Sus scrofa: one gene and its partners. The protein of the gene in region 3 purifies or fractionates together with the protein of the main gene of each other region. This does not show direct contact. Links are inferred from orthologs where the notes say so. Each region holds a gene or a part of one and is shown on either strand. Other genes may lie near its edges.

Region 1 (3,587 bases), on a different chromosome or scaffold from region 3:
ACTCTTTGAGTTGGAATTAGTAAACACTCTGGATGAATTAGTGTGAAAAGTAAAAATGAGCTCGCACCAAGGAGGTGAAAATCTGCCCTGCTGGTCATCAGGTTGGGATGACCAGCCGATGCCTGCTGCCTAGTAAACAGTTGTCAGTCCCTGTTGCCCCCTCCCTGAGGTCCTCCTTTAGCCTCCTGCTTTGAGGGACTGCTCTTTTCTTATGAGGAGCCTTGTCCCTAAGCTTATAGGCTGTCAGTAGTTCTGCCAGGGGGACTGAAGCCGTGAGAGCCAAGCAGCTGCTCGTCTGGAGGAACACAGTCACTTTGAGTCCCGTCCAGGTGTGGGGCCTCAGATGTGATTCTGTACACAGCATCCCTCATCTGTTGTACTTGTAGTTGCCATTAACAAAGGATTTTGCATTTGCTCTGCAGTCCAGACCCTGTGCCGACCTCCTGCTTTGCATGGGGCACGTCAGAACACTACGTTTAAATATTGTCCTGAACTTCCCCCTTCTCCCAAACCCTTTCAGGTCCTATCTGTCCCCTGAACCTCTGCTGTGCGAGTGCCCTAACTCAGACTATCTGACCTAACTTTGTTTCTGGTAGTCTGTGGCTCAGGGCTAGGACAGGTGTAAGCAATGTCAAGCTACTGTGGGCCACTGGGAAATAACTGCATGCAGAGAATTCTTCAGTTGTGTTCATTTTAGTAGGATTTTTCCTTCTATGTAAATGTAACTGTAGCTGATATTTCAGTTTTTTGGGAGTATATTTCTTAGCTCCAGTTTTAAAAATCAGCATTATTGAGGTGTAATTTATATTCCATAAGGACACCTGTTGTGAGTATACAGCTCTGATTTTTAGTAAATTTATAGAATTGCACAGCCATCCCTGGAGCCCCCTTTTAGAACGTTTCTGTCCCCCTAGAAAGTTTTATTAGGCCAGCTAGCGGCTCATCCCTGTTGTCACCAAGCTGCATGCATCCTACTTTGCTTCCTTGTCTGTTCATTTGTAGCTCAGTCCTCTTATGCATATTCGTTTTTAAAACCTTTCTTTGTGCATATATTTTTTCCTAGGATGAAGGCTTAAGGCTCAGAAAGGTAGCACATTCGGAAAAACCTGGATCCACCTCAGCCGCGTCCTTCAGAGATAATGTCACCAGCCCTCTTCCTTCACTCCTTGTTGTAATTGCAGCCATTTTCATTGGATTCTTTCTAGGAAAATTCATCTTGTAGAGTGAAGCATGCAGAGTGCTATTTCTTTTTTTTTCTCCCGACCAGAAAAAGATTTGTTTACCTACCATCTCACTGGTAGTGTGGCCCACGGTGACCATTCTTTGTGTGTACAGCGTCATGTAGGCCTCGCCTTTAAAGGTCTCACGGTTAGAAATCAGTAAGAGCAGAGTGTTCGGCGCCTGGACAGAGTGTACGTGGCCAGACCATCACTAGCAGGTGTCAGTTGCACATTCAGTCCTTTATGAAATTCATAAATAAAAAATTGTTCTTTCTTTGTGGTTTTAATAAGAGTTCAAGAATTGTTCAGAGTCTTGTAAATGTTATTTTAATAATCCCTTTAAATTTTATCTGTTGCTGTTACCTCTTGAAATATGATTTATTTAGATTGCTAATCCCACTCATTCAGGAAATGCCAAGAGGTATTCTGTGGGGAAATGGTGCCTCTTACAGTGTAAATTTTCTCCTTTACCTTTGCTAATATCATGGCAGAATTTTTCTTATCCCTCGTGAGGCAGTTGTTGACTGAGTTTTTCACCCTTACAATCCTGTCCCATGGTATTTAACATAAAAATAATAAAACCGTTAACAGATTCTTGCTCGATAGCTTGTGTGTGTCTGTCATGTCATTAGATGGGATACCAGGGCGTGCGCTGTGGTGATTTGGGTTATAAAATGTGTAATTTATCTCACACTGAACCCTTTCATATATTACAGTATTTGCGGGGAAGAGTCCTCATTGTTTTAAGCAAAGGAATTGATAACATTTCAGGCCGCTTTTGGCATTTTGGAAGATCAAAATCCATTTGTCTTCGAGATAATATAAAATAAGCAATGAGAATAAAAGTGCTGTGATTTCAGTCAGTTTACGTGTCTGCTGCATGGCTCTGTTGTGTTTATTTTACTCTAGTCTTCATAGGTTCTTTCAGTATCTTCTCAAGAAAGCCTAATAATGCTTCTTGGTTCTAGTCACTGCTTTTTGACCAGCCTAATAATTCCTTTTATTTTAGAACATTTCATTGTAATAGTTAAAAGTGGTTTTTTTCCCTGTCCAGTTTGATACTCAAAAGTAAGTTTCCATTATGGAAATTTGTTATGACTTGAGCCTTGGGAATTCCTTTGTGAAAAATGACCCTATCCTTGCCCCTGTCAACCGTGTGGTATGTTTTCAGTGTAAATGCAACATTATGGGGTCTGGTGTACTTTCCTGCAATTAGTCTTTTATTTGGTTAATCTGTGCCAGCATAGAAAATTTTGGAACCAGAGAAGATAGAGTCACTTTTTCTGCTAAGTACAATGTAATATAAGTGAATTTTGATTTTTGAAAATTGGTGTTGGTTTTGTAAAAGATGCACTTACATCTGAAAAGGAAGTTGGCCTTGGGAACTGGATGTGGTGCAGAGAAGTGTGTTGGCCCCAGGTCTGTGGTGAAGGAGTGAGCTGTTTGGAGTTCTGGGTTGTATTTTCATCTCAGGTATATTTTGAACTTGTCAGAGCTGTGTATTGTGTCACTGTCTCTGTGATGTCTTTCCAAAGCTCTGGCTTGTGTGTGCACAGTCTTCCGTGCAGCTTACCCCCCATGACTGGACTGCATACCAGCAGAAGCCCGTTTCCGTCCTGCCAGTGCCACCGGTGATTCCTTGCCTTAAAGCCCTCTGTGTAACCAGTATTATTGGTGATGAGAATCAGAATGAGCTTTCATAGCTATTGGGTTTTTTTTTAACTTATGTTCTCAGAAATTTAGCAAAACCCCATTTTATGGGAATGCTTCTTAGAGTTCATTTTGTTCAGCCCCTTTGCTTTATAGTTGAGGAGTCTGAGGCCTTTGAAAGAGTTAACTTTGTGTCTCACAGGCAGATAGAGGCAGAGCTGGACCTGGAAGCCTGACTCTTTGCTTTGTTTCTTTTTTCTGTTAACTTTGTAGAAAAAAACATGTGCCCTAACTTGATATGACTGAAATAGTGACCATAAGATGCTATTTAATAAGTGTGTGTGTGACAGGTATCATATCAGAAGATTGTACTGCAGACTGCTGTTGAATAGTCTCATGTGCATGTCTGGTTTTAGTGTTTCAGCTAGAAATCCCCACTCCCAATTGGTGGTAAGTAAACATTGGGAAATACAGTGTATTTTTAGGTAGGCATTTTAATTTTTTTTTTATTAAAGTATAGTTGATAGCATTCTGCAGTGAGGCATTTTACAGAATGGATTGTGCAGTGGTTGGTTTTGAGATGGTGTGGAGGCTGGGTAGCCTCTGCAAAGTGAAGTACACATGGGCTTCTTACTGCTCTGCATCCCCTAAGGCCGTCGTCTTGTACAGCAGATTGAATCGCTGTGGGAAATGTGATCATACTATTTAACTACAGCC
Region 2 (4,868 bases), on a different chromosome or scaffold from region 3:
TTGGAAGCCATATATTTTTAAAAAAAAGAAGTTCTGGAGTTCCTGTTGCGGTTCAGCAGTAACAAACCCAATTAGTATCCATGAGGACTCAGGTTCGATCCCTGGCCTTGCTCAGTGAGTTAAGGATCTGCTGTTGCTGTGAGCTGTGGTGTAGGTCACAGATGTGGCTTGGATCCTCTGCTGCTGTGACTGTGGCGTAGGTCAGCAGCTGCAGCTCCAGTTTGACCGCTAGCCTAGGAACTTCCATATGCTGCAGGTGCAGCTCTAAAAACCAGGGGAAGAAAAAAAAAGAAAAGAAGTTCTAGAAGAGCCCTACCTCGCTGCCAGGGCAGCCTGAATATACAAGTCTTCAAGGAACAAAAGAGAAGGGAGTCAGAACAGTGGCTGGTCTAGCCTAAGGAGCACTTTAATATAAATCTGGACTTCTTTTCTTGATCTTTATAACTTCCCAAATGTTTTCCAGTTTTATTAACTCCTTCTCATCCCCATCTCCTTCCATTTAACTGGCCAGAGTAAATCCCATCCATGAAGAAGAGCTTGTGCACATGTGCTTTGAATCCAAAAAGACTTTAATTACCCTGGGCCTCAGTTTCCCTATTTGTAAAACAAGGCAGATGAACCACATTACAGTCTCCAGGGAGAATGCAAGTCCCCTCTACTTCTCACCCTCCCTTACTGCTTGGTCCAGGAGTGGTCTGAGAGCCCACCACCATGGAAGTGCTAGACCCTAATGAGGATAGAAGGGTTACCCTTTCCAGCCATGGTTTCAACAGTGGCAGCAGAGATGAAAAGAACAGGAAAGCAGGCTGAACCCCTGACTCCTGCAACAAGGATTTGCCTAGGAGTTCCCTGGTGGCCTAGTGATTGATGGATCAGTGCTGTCACTGCTATGGCTCAAGTCACTACTGTGGCATGAGTTCAATCCCTGGCCCAAGAACTTCTGTGTGCCATGGTGCAGCCAAAAAAGAAAAGAAAAGAAAAGAAAAAAGAGAAGAAAAGAAAAGGAAAGGACTGGCCTAATAGATAAACAACATGGTTCTACTGTATAGCACAGGGTACAATATTCAGTATCTTAATAATAACCTATAATTGAAAAGAATATGTGAGTTCCTGTCTTGGCACAGGGGAAATGAATCTGACTAGGAAACATGAGGTTGCGGATTTGATCCCTGGCCTCTCTCAGTGGGTTAAGGATCCAGCATTGCCGTGAGCCGTGATGTAGGTCACAGATGAGGCTTAGATCTGGCATTGCTATGGCTGTGCTGTAAGCTGGCAGCTGCAGCTCCGATTCGACCCCTAGCCTGAGAACCTCCATATGACCTAGGTGCAGCCCTAAAAAGACAAAAGATTAAAAAAAATAAAATAAAAATAAAAGAATGTGCAAAGTAACACACACACATATATATGAATCACTTTGCTAGACACAAGAAATTAACACAACATTGTAAATCAGCTATACTTCAATTTAAAAAATAAATAAAAAGAACTAGACTAGCATGTAATTGGGCACAAAGGCATAACTGTCTAGACTCAGGGCCCACATGGTTCCCAGTAAATAATCTCGCAGGTTAAAAGAAGAGCATGGTCATTTGTAGATGGGAGCTGAGCCAAGGAGTTTACTTAATAAAACCCTGGCATTTTCTGCTGGAAGAAAGGCAACATCCTAATATGCAAACCCAACCTTTTTCCGTTGTAACTTTTGCTTTTCCCTGAATTCTTCCATCTTCCTGGCCTCTTCTCTTAGAGTCTGTGCGAGCTGAATGTGACTTTGGGCCACATTGTCTACTTCTGCAAAAAGAATTAAAAAGGAAACAAGATCTATACATGTCCAAATTCAAATATACAAGACTATACAAAAATTAAATATACCAAATACTGAAGCAAGTGGTAAAGTTAACCTACCTCATTTGGTCACTAGCATTTATTGAGCCCCTTTATGTGACCAGCATTGTCCTGGCCAAGACCAAGTTGGCAAACCTTTAGCTTAGCTTCCTACCACTAACTGCTACTAACCTAGTGTATGCCCAGGGCCGGGGAGAAGTTCATGGAGCTTGCATGACAGGACACATTACTAAACACACCACAATCTCAAATTCGATCCTGTGTCTCATTAGATGATTCTAAGGTTCTTTCCATTTCTAACATCTCATGAGCCTGTAAGAAATTTACCCTAGGAGTTCCCATCGTGATGCAGTGGAAGCGAATCCAACTAGGAACCATGAGATTTCGGGTTCCACCCCTGCCCTTGCTCAGTGGCTTAAGGATCTGGCATTGCCATGAGCTGTGGTGTAGGTCTCAGACGCAGCTCAGATCTGGCCTTGCTGTGGCTGTGGTGTAGGCCAGCAGCTGTAGCTCCGATTAGACCCCTAGCCTGGGAACCTCCATATGCCTAGAGGGCAGCCCTGAAAAGAAAAAAGAAAAAATTTTTATCTCTGAATAGAAAGCTTATTGGTATTTTTCCTCTTATTTTTTAAGATCTCTGCAATGATCATGGCTTACTTTTCTACTAGAAAAACTGAAATTTTTATTGTTCTTTTTCTAAGAAAACAAATAAGGATGATGTTATAGCTAGAAAGACTGAGTGAGCTGACCTAAGAAAAAATTTCCAACTTGTGTTTGTCAAAATAACTTTGAATAATGTTACAAGACACATGAGAAACTAGAAAAAAAATATTTGCAATTTATGTAACCAAGAGCAAATAGCTGTATTAAAAGAGCTTTCAGAAATCAAAAGAAATGCATATTTAGTATTTTAAAATTGGTTACAGAACATGAAATTTTTTTAAATTGTCTAAATTGCCACTAAACATTTGAAAAAGTGTTCAACCTTAAAACGATTGAAAAAAACCAAAACTTTAAAACACAGAAATGGGAGTTTCCGTCACAGCTCAGAGGCTAACGAACCCGACTAGCATCCATGAGGACATGGGTACGATCCCTGGCCTCACTCAGTGGGTTAAGGATCTGGTGTTGCCATGAGCTGTGGTGTAGGTCTCAGACACAGGTCAGATCCCGCACTGCTGTGGCTCTGGCGTAAGCCAGCAGCTACAGCTCCAATTGGACCCCTAGCCTGGGAACCTCCATCTGCCACCAGTGCAGCCCTTAAAAAAAAAAAAAAAAAGACACTTTAAATAAATCCCAGAAATGTATCACATTTTACCTTTCAGTTTGGCAAAATTTTTAAAGTGCAAAAATTCTTGGTACTTTCAAGTGTGGGGAAAAAGTACTGCTGGTGGGGAAGAAATCAGTACAACCTTTCCAGAAGAAATGTGGCATTTGGTAGAATAAACCAAATTGAGGCAGATCAGTAAGAACTGAAACAGAACGATGTCCAGAACCATTCAACTAGCTACAGAAACACTTCAAGCACATACTGTGCCACATAAAGTCCTTAGCTTGGAAGCACCAAGAACAGAATGGCTTAAAGGCACCAGCTTGGAGAACACTGGAACTGGACAGGACCCCTTGAAGACCAATGCCAGGGCCTCTCCCTGGATTTCCAGTCTGAGAAGCACTGCCCCAAGTAAGTCAAATGCTCATGATGATGTGCAAATGGGAATGGTTCTCCAGCCCATTTCAATTCTGCAAAGCTAGCCTTCACCTTAGGAGCTGCTCTCATTTTTTTTTTTTTCATCCATTATGAGATTGCTGTTCAATTTTTTTTTTTTTTTTTGGTCTTTTTAGGGCTGCATCCACAGCATATGGAGGCTTCCAGGCCAGGGGTCAAATCAGAGCTATAGCTGCCAGCCTACACCACAGCCACAGCGACGCCAGATCTGAGCCGAGTCTGCAACCTACATCACAGCTCACAGCAACACCAGGTCCTTAACCCACTGAGCAAAGGCAGGGATCAAACCCACAACCTCATGGTTCCTAGTTGGATTCGTTTCTGCTGCACCATGACACGAACTCCAAGATTGCTGTTCGAATTAATGACAGACGCACACACACACACAGAGAGCTTGCCAAGGACAATAAATATATTTTTAAAGAATCACTTACGTTGCTTGAAGACTTCAAGGGCCCGCTTCAGGGTGCTAAAAAACAAGCACATATATAATTTCAGTTCTGGAAATTGTCTATACAATCTTGGTATAATTCGATCCTATTTCTCATGAGACGATTCCAAGGTTCTTTCCATCTCTAAATCTCATGCTTCTCTCTACCCACATCTTCTCTCTCCCAGAGCCTATGGTCTAATCTTTGCCCATGAGCCTGAGAAGACAGCAAAAGATCGGGCGTCTTCAGTTTCCTCTTTTTTTTTTTTTTTTTGTCTTTTTGCCTTTTTTCTAGGGGCTGCTCCTTCGGTATATGGAGGTTCCCAGGCTAGGGGTCTAATCAGAGCTGTAGCTGCCGGCCTATACCACAGCCACAGCAACTCCATATCCGAGCCACATCTCTGACCTACACCACAGCTCATGGCAACATCATCGTCAACCCACTGAGCAAGGCCAGAGATCGAACCCGCAACCTCATGGCTCCTAGTTGGATTCGTTAACCACTGCGCCACGACGGGAATTCCTCAGTGTCCTCTTTGTTACTCTCTCAGTCCAAGCACAAGAATCATAAATGTTTCCCTGTCCACCTGGGTGGAGCCAGATACCCAAATTCTTTGTGTTTCATTTCCCCCAATGATAATATAGGAGTTGCGGTCCCTTTCTCATTAGAATACTAGTCATTTTTTAAAGAATGGTAATTAGAAATATGGATACAAGCAAATAAAGGGAGGATTCAAACTCTGGCTCCTGGTCACCTCCTTTTTCATCCATTCATCAATCATCACATACTTATTGCACATAAAGTATTGGCCAGGCACTGTGTCACATATTGATGATTTGGTGGTGCAAGACAGACTGGAGAGTCTTTTT
Region 3 (4,868 bases):
AAGGCAGAAAAAAAAAAGTCATCTCTAGTGGGATCTGAATGACTCCGTTTATGTATGTGTTTTCTAAGTCACTTTAGTTACATTATTTTGGTTGTTAAAAAATATTAAATGATATAGTTATCTTTTAAAGGAAAATCTTCCTATCATACTGGATTTATCAACTATATACACTGACTAGACAATATTGATAAAACAATTTCTTTATCTTTTGATTCTACAAGATCTTTTTCTTTTTAACCAGTTAACTACTTAATTAAAAAGTCAACTAACCACTGAATTAACTACAGAAAACATTTTTTAATTAACCAGGTTTTTACTGATTCCCACATCTCAATAAGCAAGTCACCTCTCCGGCCCATAAATAAAAAGCAGCCCTTTCACTTCACTAATATAGACATCACAATCCAACCAACTGGCTAAGAAAACTATCTTTGGTGTTACATCTTCACTAATATCTTTTAACTATTTAATTAACCAGTAAATTGAAGTCTAAGACATTCATTTACTTTTTGCAACAAATGCGAATGCAGACATGTCACTTAAAAAGATAGATTGCAGTTTTATGAAGCATTATGGTATTTTTTTTTTCCTTTGGCTTTTTAGGGCCACACCTGTGGCATATGGAAGTTCCCTGGCTAGGGGTCTAATCGGAGCTACAGCAGCTGGCCTACCCTGCAGCCACAGCCCCGCCAGATCTGAGCTGCGTCTGTGACCTACACCACAGCTCACGGCAATGCTGGATCCTTAACCCACTGGGTGAGGCCAAGGATCGAACCCGCACCCTCAAATATACTAGTCAGATTCATTTCCACAGCACCACAATTTTAAGTCTTCTAGAAGAATCTAATATAAAATAAAAATTAAGAGAAGAAAAATTGCCCCAGGATTCAAAGCTTTTATTATTTGGAAATCCATATAATGATCTAAGAAATTCCTTAGATAGGAAACAGGTTTCAAAATACCAAATATTACCCATATTATAATGTCACCTCTATTCCAAATTATTACAATATTTAGGGGAGTTCCCGTCATGGCACAGTGGTTAACGAATCCGACTAGGAACCATGAGGTTGCGGGTTCGGTCCCTGCCCTTGCTCAGTGGGTTAAGATCCGGCGTTGCCGTGAGCTGTGGTGTAAGTTGCCGACGCGGCTTGGATCCAGCGTTGCTGTGGCTCTGGCGTAGGCTGGTGGCTACAGCTCTGATTCGACCCCTAGCCTGGGAACCTCCATATGCCACGGGAGCGGCCCAAGAAATGGCAAAAAGACAAAAAGACAAAAAAAAAAAAAAAAATTTAGAAGATTCTTTTGTACCTGCAATGAATACAAATAGGCACATCTTCATGTTCCTGGTATTTCCTCATTAAGCTTATCATATCCAGAATAGAATCAAATGATGAGGGAACATCATGGTCTGGCCAGTTGACATAATGAAATTGATAAAGCCTACGAGATTCCTTCAAGAATAGAAATTCAATAATTATGAAAACACAGGTGCAAATTCTAAAGCATATAGAAAAGCTGTACATCTCACCTTACTGCCATTTCTAAGATATGTATACTGTATTTAGCACCTTAAAAAAACAAACAAACAAACAAACAAAAAAATAGCCTACATTTATAGACTACTTATCACATACCAAGTATTGATCTAAGGGCTTCACATGTAACAATTTACTTAATCCCCATTTAACACCACGGGGACGGTATCATTAATACTATCCTCATTTTATGGGTAAGGAAATTGAGACAGAAAGAGTAATTTGCAAACTGTTTCAAAGCAAGTGGCAGATGAGGGATCTAAAAGCTGGCAGTCTTACCTCCAAAACTTGTACTTTAACTATTACACTACATATACTATTTAATTAGTCTAGAGTATTAAATGGATGAGCAATACACCATAAGCACTGTTAGAATCTATTGTAATTAGAAGGCTAATAGAATATTTATTACTTTAATTGATAAACATAAGGCTCAAGATACTAAATAATGTATTATATCTGATTTTCATTGTTTTATATAACTAAAAAAACAAATCTCCTTAACTATGTAAGATAGTATACTATTTATATATCTTCTCTTTAAAAACTATCCTTAGAAATAACCTCTCATTGGAAAATACTTACATTCTGAAATTCAAGTAATAGTGTCCTAATGAAGTAGTCAGTTCTTGCCTGTTCAGCTTCCTAAGTAAAGAGAAACACTTGTTATTAAGAACATAAAACAAAAACATACACACCAAAACAAACAATAACCTCATATTTAAAGTTCACAATATAAAATTAACCTTTAAAATTCCAGGTGTGCCTGATAATTATAAAAACAACCATTCTGAAAGTCATCAATTTGTTTATCTAAGTTCTACTTGGAACTTTTTTTTTTAAGCAGAAGTATCTGTTAATCAATTACTTAGCTAGGAGTCTATCATCTAATAAAATATCTGCAAAGTAACAGCCATCCCCAGAATCATGTAACAGATTATCACCTACACACAAAATGTCACTTCTTAGGACCTATAAACATCTTCAACCATTTTATCTTTCCATAAAGCCTTATTAAAATTCAACTATGAATTAACTGGATGCCAACTGGGGAAGGAAAAGGATGCATTCGGAAAATCCCAAATTATCATTCTGATTGATGACAACATAACCATGTTAAAAGTCTCTTACTGTCATCTGTTAATGTATTGGAATGAAGCCTCTGTATCAGTTTCTCACTAAGCAAACTATTCTCTTTGCCTTTTTAATTAAAATTACAAATAGTCTACACAGTGATTGTCAAGAGCAATAAGGTATGCTGCTTTATTAATAAAAAATTCAGTATTACTCCTTTAATTTTTTTAAACTATAGTAGTTTATTTTGAACTTTTTAAATAATAAAAAGGGGAAAGTATGTTTTTATATTCATCGAATTGGAGTATGGATGAAAACATTGGACTTAACCTTTCCTCACCTATAAAAGGTGAGATAGAGATTTTTGTTTTTGTGGGCTTTATTATAAAGTCTGTTTGCTCAACTTTGCTGTTGTTTTCACAAATATGTAAATTAATGGATGTGGTTGTACTCCACTAAAACTTTACTCACAGAACAGGTAGTGGGCTAGACAAACCCAAGGATATTGTGCTGATAATTTGGTCTGAGTGGATATATGCAGCAACATACTTCTCAGCTCCTGCTGGCCAGTCCCCTACCTTTCACCAACACTTTCCCCCACTTCTCATCCTTAAACTGAGAGAGCTCCTGACTAGTGTCCTCTCTCAGTCTCAAACACTCTGACTGCCAAGTAGAGTCAAGTCACTTACTTCGGTTATTTTTAATAACTTGCTTTCTATTTACAAATTTGGTTTTTGGGAGTTCCTATTGTGGCTTAATGGAAATGAATCTGACTAGCATCCATGAGGACGCAGGTTTGATCCCTGGCCTCACTCAGTGGGTTAAGGATGAGCTGTGGTGTAGGTCACAGACACCACTTAGATATGGCGTTTTTGTGGCTGTGGTCAGGCTGGTAGCTACAGCTCTGATTTGACCCCAGCCTGGGAACCTCTGTATGCCTTGGGCGTGGCCCTAAAAAAAAAAAAAAGATTTTTGCTTTTATCAGTGATAACAAATACTGACTTGTCTGAAACAACAAGACAATTACTTCCCATTTTGAAACCCTGAAAGAAAAATTTTGCTTCTCAGCATACATCAGTCCCAACATTGACAAATCAAACCAGCTGTTACTAATCAAATCAAACTTATTAAGAGGACTTTTTTTTTTAATTAAAAAAAATATTATGGCCACACTCGCGGCACATAGAAGTTCCTGGGCCAGGGACTGAATCTGAGCTGCAGCTGCAACCTACACTACAGCTGTGGCAATACCGGAGGACTTCTTAAAATTACCTTTTAGCGCAATTAAAAAGTCAACCAGGAGTTCCCATCATGGCTCAGTGGTAACAAACCTGACTAGTATCCATGAGGATGCGAGTTCGATTCCTGGCCTTTCTCAGTGGGTTAAGGATCTGGTGTTGCTGTGAGCTGTGGTGTAGGTTGCAGATGCAGCTCAAATTTGGCATTGCTGTGGCTGTGGAGTAGGCCAGCGGCTACAGCTCCAATTCGACCCCTAGCCTGGGAACTTCCGTATGCTGCAGCTAAAAAGTAAAAGAAAAAAAGCCAACAAAAAAGCCAATTCATCTTTTTCCAAACTATAAACTATTGCTTACTTTTTCTATTCAGTTGTTTACTATTCCTGATCCCCAACTGTTCAAAAATTTCAAGTTGTTTTGTTGTTTACTATTATAAGCACTATATGTTGTCACTTGAATTGTGACATTCAGTATAATTATCTTATTACATTTAAATTTACAAATGTTCAACACAACCACACTGCACAGAACTAGGCTTCCTGGACTAAGAACTTAATATTGTAGAACACTTTCTGAATTGGTAAGGCAGAAGGTGTTTCCTCACAGAAATACAATATAGTTATGTATTAGTTTTTATTCATTCCAAATAATATGAAATGTTTTATGATTTTTAAAATTTTTATATTTAATCAACAAACAATTAATTATAACCAGGATTTTAGAGTACTGACTGCATATTAAATCCAGGCAGTTTACTATGAATTACAGTTAACATTACAAAAATGAGACTGCATTTAAAAGGAGTCTGTGTAACACAATTTTAGTCCTTTTCTACATCAACCTAGAAAACACTAAATTTAGGATACACATCAGGAATTCAGGGGACATAAGTACAAATAAATCATACAGTTAGATTTCTTGAATTAACCAATGAAAAATAAAATTATAGAAATTATATCTCATTTAACTATGGAAAACAAGGTCAAAAACAAGCAATTCTGAAATGGGGAATGTGAAGATT

What was found.
Region 1: the proteins of PTPN12 (region 3) and VAPA purify together in Homo sapiens (affinity purification with mass spectrometry; 3 studies listed by BioGRID and IntAct, counting the BioPlex papers as one, with this or other methods). This does not show direct contact. The link is inferred for Sus scrofa from reciprocal best matches to the Homo sapiens genes PTPN12 and VAPA.
Region 2: the proteins of PTPN12 (region 3) and PSTPIP2 purify together in Homo sapiens (affinity purification with mass spectrometry; 4 studies listed by BioGRID and IntAct, counting the BioPlex papers as one, with this or other methods). This does not show direct contact. The link is inferred for Sus scrofa from reciprocal best matches to the Homo sapiens genes PTPN12 and PSTPIP2.

The regions. Positions count from the first base shown.
Region 1 is NC_010448.4:98,210,831-98,214,417, reverse strand, and holds the end of VAPA (vesicle-associated membrane protein-associated protein A), read left to right. Parts: intron 1-1,063; coding exon 1,064-1,222; 3' UTR 1,223-2,083; downstream 2,084-3,587. UniProt on the Homo sapiens protein: Endoplasmic reticulum (ER)-anchored protein that mediates the formation of contact sites between the ER and endosomes via interaction with FFAT motif-containing proteins such as STARD3 or WDR44.
Region 2 is NC_010443.5:95,653,824-95,658,691, forward strand, and holds part of PSTPIP2 (proline-serine-threonine phosphatase-interacting protein 2), read right to left. Parts: intron 4,038-4,868; coding exon 4,003-4,037; intron 1,789-4,002; coding exon 1,682-1,788; intron 1-1,681. UniProt on the Homo sapiens protein: Binds to F-actin. May be involved in regulation of the actin cytoskeleton.
Region 3 is NC_010451.4:102,511,082-102,515,949, forward strand, and holds part of PTPN12 (tyrosine-protein phosphatase non-receptor type 12), read right to left. Parts: intron 2,184-4,868; coding exon 2,124-2,183; intron 1,455-2,123; coding exon 1,312-1,454; intron 1-1,311. UniProt on the Homo sapiens protein: Dephosphorylates a range of proteins, and thereby regulates cellular signaling cascades. Dephosphorylates cellular tyrosine kinases, such as ERBB2 and PTK2B/PYK2, and thereby regulates signaling via ERBB2 and PTK2B/PYK2.